2 linked regions of the Schizosaccharomyces pombe genome follow. The protein of the gene in region 2 purifies or fractionates together with the protein of the main gene of each other region. This does not show direct contact. Each region holds a gene or a part of one and is shown on either strand. Other genes may lie near its edges.

What was found. Proteins that work in one complex are often made in the same cells at the same time.
Region 1: the proteins of png3 (region 2) and nts1 purify together in Schizosaccharomyces pombe (affinity purification with western blotting; one study listed by BioGRID). This does not show direct contact.

What each region holds. Positions count from the first base shown.
Region 1 is NC_003421.2:933,312-937,073, reverse strand, and holds the start of nts1 (protein Nts1), read left to right. Parts: upstream 1-1,918; 5' UTR 1,919-2,150; coding exon 2,151-2,310; exon of another isoform or gene 2,311-2,379; intron 2,380-2,789; coding exon 2,790-3,762.
Region 2 is NC_003424.3:3,522,605-3,526,101, reverse strand, and holds png3 (protein Png3), read left to right. Parts: upstream 1-1,737; 5' UTR 1,738-1,897; exon of another isoform or gene 1,898-1,939; 5' UTR 1,940-2,003; coding exon 2,004-2,058; exon of another isoform or gene 2,059-2,105; coding exon 2,106-2,177; intron 2,178-2,457; coding exon 2,458-2,966; downstream 2,967-3,497. Other genes in the region: SPOM_SPAC16E8.13 (ubiquitin-protein ligase E3), read right to left, coding at 1-798; SPOM_SPAC16E8.18 (uncharacterized protein), read left to right, coding at 3,129-3,452.

The DNA of each region.
Region 1 (3,762 bases), on a different chromosome or scaffold from region 2:
TTTCATGGTTTTTCTGTTGTATGTTCATTTATTTTATATTTATGGAGTGTTTTGTACGCACTAGCTCTTTTAGTGTTTTATTTTTACTGCGAGAAATGTAATTTTCATTCTTCCTCTTTTATTTATATATGTGTTTTTTTTTGGTAGATTTTGTAAACATCATATAGCTTGTTAATGATCAGACTTTATTTTTTTAATATTTTCTTTTGTTAAGCAATTTCGTTTAAAAATAAACATATCCGACTTTGATGCTTCAAAAATTTAATGTAATAAAATAATATTCCTGTTTTTGAATCTGGGTTAAAATCATATCGGATACCTTATAAAATTCACTGATCATTTAAAAAAAAAAAAAAAAAAAAAAAAAACCCCCCGAAAACATACAATTTTGTTAATTTTCAAATGCATTCTTTTGAGGTCAAGCCATATTTACTTTTATCCCAAATATTAAATTTAAGTGTCATATGCAAAGTTGCAAATTCGCCGACCGTAGGGCTATCAAAACTGATGATGTTTAAAAATTGACTAATGGAACAAATTTATCTTGAGATGAAATGATGTTGTTCAAAATTAATATAATTTTTTTTTGCTGTTTCCTCTTGCTTTATACGCATTTTCCTGCACCTCTCTTTCAGAATACACATTATTCTTATTTGGTATTAAGATTCACCAATTGATAAAATAACACCTAATTGTATGCCACGGCTATCTTGCTATTATTGTAATTTCGCTTTATATTCGATTTTGACGAATGAACCCTGTCAAGTTGGAAAATGCAAAAGCAGTATTCTACCGTTACCTCTCAGTAGTAAAATGACCTTCCATCGATGAAATTCTCTAACATTCTCTTCGTATTTAAAAATGTATGGATCGTATATTCCTTGCTTATCCACGATTCATGAACAATTAAGATTTGCTGAATGGGTAACACATATTCTGCGTTACCTCGTATAGTTCATTGTTAATCAATGTTTAAACACTAAATTTCCCATCTCCCACTGTTAATTGAAAATAGGTTTTATTCAATAAATTACCATTTAAAAAGACATGTTATTTTAAGTTATATATTTTATGAACCTAAAGATTGAAGTAAAGGCCTTCGGAGCCTTTAGTTCCCCTACTATGTGCCTCTACTCGCTTCTTGGGGCTTAACTGTAATGTAGTATTGCCAATTACACAAAAAATTTATATTGTTCTTTAGCTTCTTATAATTCATTTAAATGAGAGGTAAAAAATTCGAGAAGACATTTCAGAAAACTACAGAAGTATCCATTTGTTTGAAATTAACTGTCCTAATGCAGATGAATCCTATGTAATAGAAATATTACAACCGTGGCTATAAAAGAAGTTGAGAGTTAGTTATACGTAAGAATATCTTTTAAAGATTTCAATCGACATCTCACATGATTCATCAGTATTAAACGTAAAAGTTTACATATTAGTTGTAGCACTATTCGTGATAAATGAAATAGTAAACCAAAAAACGAACGAGGAATAATCTTTTCATCACTAGAATATTAAAATTATTTTATATAATCAAAGTTAGAAAGATTCCTTTAGTTCCTTGAAATATTCTTTAATTATTATTGCAGCACTAAGGATTGCATCACTGATATGTCTCAGTAATGATTATCAGAACGTCTGGTAATAAAGCACGATCCTCTCTCTTTTTTTGTTCTGACTCTCGTCAGGATGAATTCCTTCTCAAAGTGCCGGGAGGAATTGCTTTGTATTTTTTGTACCGTACTTACATTTTATCGTATACTTTCACCTTAGCGCTTTTGGTGTCAAAACAATAGAGATGTAAATTTTAATAGAAATTAAAGCTTATTGGAATTTTTGTTTTCAAGTGTTTTAACATGTAGTGATTGTGTAAAGTATATGTTTACGTTCTAGTAATCGACTACCGTTGAAACTTGCAAACTACCAAACAGTATTGCAGACAGTGAATCAGTCGACGGAGCACTTGAATCAATTTGTTAATAATATAGAGATTAAATTCACAATTTATTGACACATGATTAACTGAATTCATTAAAATATTTGTTTTTTTGGTATATATTTCCTTTCAATACCCTCGCTATTTGTTTCTTAATAACTGAAGACAACATTGATCTACTTAATATATATGACTCAAAACTCACAGAGTAATGGTGAAATCGTGTCAAAAAAAACCGGATATTGATGAGTTCTTTTCATTTTTGCAGAGTGCATTCCATCCTCTACAGACCGAGGAACTTGATACATTCGTTCGCAACATTTTTGAATATGACGATCGAGGTCGTTTGTACAACTGCCTTTTAACTCTAGGTAAGAATGAATATTAGATATAATCAAGTTTATTTTTATCGCTTTTTCTAAAATTGTGAATTTTCAATTGATCGTCGTATGCTTGATAGCAATTTTGATGATCTTTTATCAAACATTTTGCACGCCTATAACTCTAAGGTTATATCAATTCAATTTTCTCAAAGAAACATATAAAATTTTACTCTATTCATGACTTGGCATGAGTGGTTGGATGAGACTGTGGCGTTGGTCGTTAATTATATTTTTTGTTGTTTCTGTTCGAAATTGAATGGTTGATTTCAACATTTAGCCCTTGGGTTTTTATTTCCCTAGGAAAAATGTTTGGGAGATTTAACCGTACAGTTTTCTGTAAAGCAAATGATTGTATAAAAAAATTATGATGACTGAAAATTCAAATCTACTACAATGTCACTTGAAAAATCGATTTCTTTTTTGATGTTTTATTTCTTTTTTATTAAAATTTCTAACCGTTAATGCAGTTCCTTATGAAAGACTTCCAATAGATGCAGAGGATCTTAGTAGTCGAAAAACCTATGCGCGTCCCGTACTAATCCGACAATACCGCAGTTTGCGGTTTGCCAACAAAGAAGAAAACATTTGTCGGCTAACTCCCAACTCAGCGTTCGTCCCTGTTCGAGACTCTGCAGTCGCTAGCATTTCAACCTCAAAAGTGCAGGACTTTAACTCCTATGCTACTCTCACTGAAGCACAGAAAAAAACGGCCACTCCCGTTGAGGAAAAAAACTTCTTAAATCAAATTGTCATACAATGTTTAGACTCTTTGGAAACCGACGTTGAAACAAATACCACGCATGCTACTTTACTAGCCGTTGACCCTACTTGGTTAATCCGTGTATCACAGCATACCTGTGATCGGAAAGCTGTGGCTAATCTCTGTATTCAGTATGGAAGTCAAATATTTTATGATCCATCATTTCGAAATGCTTATGAATTATGGTCCAATCCTTCAGTTCTTTTGGCTTTTTTGAAGGCCCAAAGAGTGTTGGTCGTTTCAGATATATTTACTTCGTCAACATTGAGATCAACACAAGGGACGCCAATGTCTTTTCCTAATTTAGCTTTGGAAAGCGCTGATAATGTCGAGAACGTATCAAAGCCTATTAACCCTCGAATGGAAAGGTTTTCATCAGAGGTTAAATCTTCGAGTATTCTGAAACAACAGATTGCAGCCGTTGTTGAGAAAATCAATTATGACATACGCCCTCAACGTGATCAAATCCCTGAAGAAAATATCGTACCTAGAATCTCTTACTTAACAAGTACCACTACTTCGACCAAATCATCACCGGTTCCCGAAAGCACTACAACAAACACAACTGAAGTGCTGAAAGAACTTAATGACATTCAAGAGAACAAAAGCAGAAAAAATGTTGAAAAAGCGACTGCGGCAACAGAAGAAATGCTACGTGGCCATCACAAACCGGTAGAAGG
Region 2 (3,497 bases):
ACAGCATACAGTGCATTTGCTCTGAAATTCAGAACTCTGTACTTTTTGAGTATAACGACATACAGGACATGATGAATTTCCCCATTTTTGCAAGCATGGACAGTGAAAAGTATGCTGGCACACAATGGTAATTAAACCAGTAATTGAAGAATCCATACGTTCTAAACATACAACGCATGTAGGAAGCTCGATAAGGGCAGGAGTCGTAGAAGCAAAAGGTTTGGAGGAAGGGCCTACTAGTTGCTGCTCAGTTGAAGAAGAATCAGAGCTCTCCATTGGATATTTTATATTTACTTTGTCAATATGTAAAACGTGGCAAGTTTCAGGATCTATTTGGCTAAAAGCTTTGCCATTGAACTCTGTATAGAACCTAATAACACTTGCTTGATCCTTGAATTTCAACAGCGCCATGATCCGATTTGGATCTTTCGTCTTAAGAAGACGTATATGCTGGATTGACTTGCAATGTTTCTCTCCCAAAAAACCCAATACATCGGAGGGCGACATATATAAGGGAATTGCCAATATCGCAAGGATTAGACCTGGCGCATCAAATTCATGGCTTTCTGAAGGAAATACCCTGTATAAATGAACGACGCCATGTCCAAGAGATGTCTCCTCAACCTCAGGAACTTTAGAAGATGGAAAATCCATTGATAATAACTTTATTTCACCCAATCGAAAATTAAAATGATCGCCTCCAAAAGAATTACCAACAACTTTAGATGCTCTCCTTTTATTACAGGTAAAAATATCTTTTACAGGAGACTCACATTCAATTTCTAAGTAGTAATACATGCATTAAACATCAATACTTGGTAATGGCTCTAAACGACTTGGCATGGTGTTAGTAGAAATAGAATACCTGAGGTCTGTAATGTTAGTAACACCAAATCCTTTATTATTTTTGAGAAGTTTTTAAATTTAAGTGAAAAATAAATAATTTTTAGATGAACTACGTAAGAACTTTCATTTTAATTACTGGTAATAGATACGGATCAATACGATTAAAATGAATCCTAATAAATAATGATAAAATGAGCAATTTTATTAATGGATTTATTCAGCTAGAAAAATAGCATTAATTTAAAATAGAATATTCACTCACTCTTGAAGCCTGCATGGTGAAATTATACATGAATTTGAACATGCAAAAATTGAATTGAAAACTTTTCATTTTAGGAATTCGTTTTCTTTTACAATTGGTCAAGTGTCTTACAAAATCGATTCTTTAAGAGCTATGTTTCTATGCAATTACTTGTCGGTCTCGCGTTGTATACTTCTAGGATAAGATTTTAATATGATTCCAAGAACCGCATATTTTATAATATAATAACAATTTATGTTGTATTCTGTTTCTGCCCTTTTCTTCCCGTCGGTTTAAAAAAAACAATTAACAAGCATGTATTTAGTATATTCTGGGGGTACCATTCAGGAAGTTCTCAGATTCTCAGCCCATTTAGAAGGAGATAGTTTTGAATAAACTGGGACCATCACTAAAAAAATAATTTTGTATTCTTAAAAGAACCAGAGGTGCCAAGCAAGCGTATGAAAACATGAATGTGCTTAATTAAGCTGACGGATTGGCCATTGACTAAAATGCAAGCAACCTTTTGAAATGAACATACTTTAAAATGACTTGAATTTTTTACTTTATTATAAAAACTGATCACTGACCCATGAGGATCCCGTATTTCTTCGGGACGATATTTTCCTAGTTTAACGCATTTCATGAACGACCACTACCAACTAGGTACAATAGTTCATACTCAAGTAAAAGAAGCTAGGTGTGTTTTGGAGAACAGCTATATAAAATAAAGTTTTGAAAAAGCTTTGAAGCAAGCCTTATAAGTGGAAAACCGAGATTCTTTGGTTCGATTGCACTTATATTACAGACGTAAACAAAAGGAAGCAAAAAGCAATGCTAACCTTGGGCAAGTAATAAAAGTCAAACTAGAAAGAATCCTCATGAATAGCTGTATATAATCGACAAGTCGTCAGCCATGGCAAAACCAAAAAAGGAAAATGACTTGGATCTTCTTATACAACTTGCTGACGGTAATAAATGAACATGTGTAAATAAATAATTTTCTTACATTATTTAGCATTGGAAGCTATACCGGGTGATTTATCCAAAAATTTTACGGAAGTCCGTTTTTTAGAGGCTGAACTAAAGGGTAAGTGATAGTGGCATTATAGATTGGGATTTTTTGCTTGAACAACTGTGAAGGTTTTGATAATAAACAAAAAAATGAAAGATTACTAGTGAAACCGTTCTGGTGTTGATTTTCTTTGTTAATGTTTAATCAATCTGCTTAGGACTTGTTTGAACCTTGAATATGTTATTCAAAAGGACTTGAACGCTACTGAGGCTTATAATAAGTTTATGTTGTTCTTATCAAAACTTGCCTATCTAGAGCTTGCCTTTTTCTGATTTAAAATGATTAACATGTTCAGATGTGTATTCACAAGCTCTTTCTTCAATTGATGACCTTCTTAACAGAGATACTAGTGTTGAACGTCGTAATTTAGTCGCTCGAAACTTATCATTACTGTTAAAATCCGATGATGTACAAACTCGAAAAAAATCCCACATTGCAATGTATGCAGAGGCAATTACTCATAGTAATGTTTTACGTTTAGAACACTGTTATCAAAAGATGGAAATGAAATTACCAAATTTTTTTATTCCTTTCACTCCAGAGGTTATAAAAGAGCAAAAAACTTCGAGACCTATTAGAGCATCCCGGCGGAGAGCCAATTTAAGGAATCGCCGTGCTAAAGAATTGCTAGCAGCTGAAAACGCATCGGAGGAAGGAGATAAAAAGCAAATAATCACGGATTCTGGTAAACTACCAGAGACAGAGGAATTAACCGAGACCACAAATGAAGACCTCGACATCAAACAATTCTCTCCCTATTCTTCAGAGAGCAGTGCAAACGTTTCTTCTTACAATAAATCTTGAAACTTACGTAAAGCCTTATATTATTAAAATTCTTGCTTTTTTGTTTTTCTAATTGAAATACACTAATAATAGTTTATCCGGGATTAGCTACTAAATTCTAGTCATTCAACAGAAGTCACTTTGAAAACATATATAAACTCATGTCTTTCCATACTGATTCGAATGGAGGTAACTTCTTTCATACTTAATGCTACGTTTAAAGAGTTTGCATGTTTTGGAAACAATTACTTGATAATACTACCAGGAATTATGTTAGAAAGGAACGTATTTAGACATTTGAATTACTCTACAAATTCTATTTGTAGCCACTATCAGTTTTTTGGCGGACATTACGAATCTTTTGAACTTTTAGTAGTGATAGTTTATTACTTTTCACATGTTGGTTCTTTCTCTTTGGCTGAGATATATCGTATTACCTGGGATAAACGCATTGTACTTTATGGAACAACAACCACTCTTGTCTACTGCTCTGAAGGGTCGGATTGATTGCGTATATGATTAATTCATATTGTATTTTTTTAAAAATAAAAC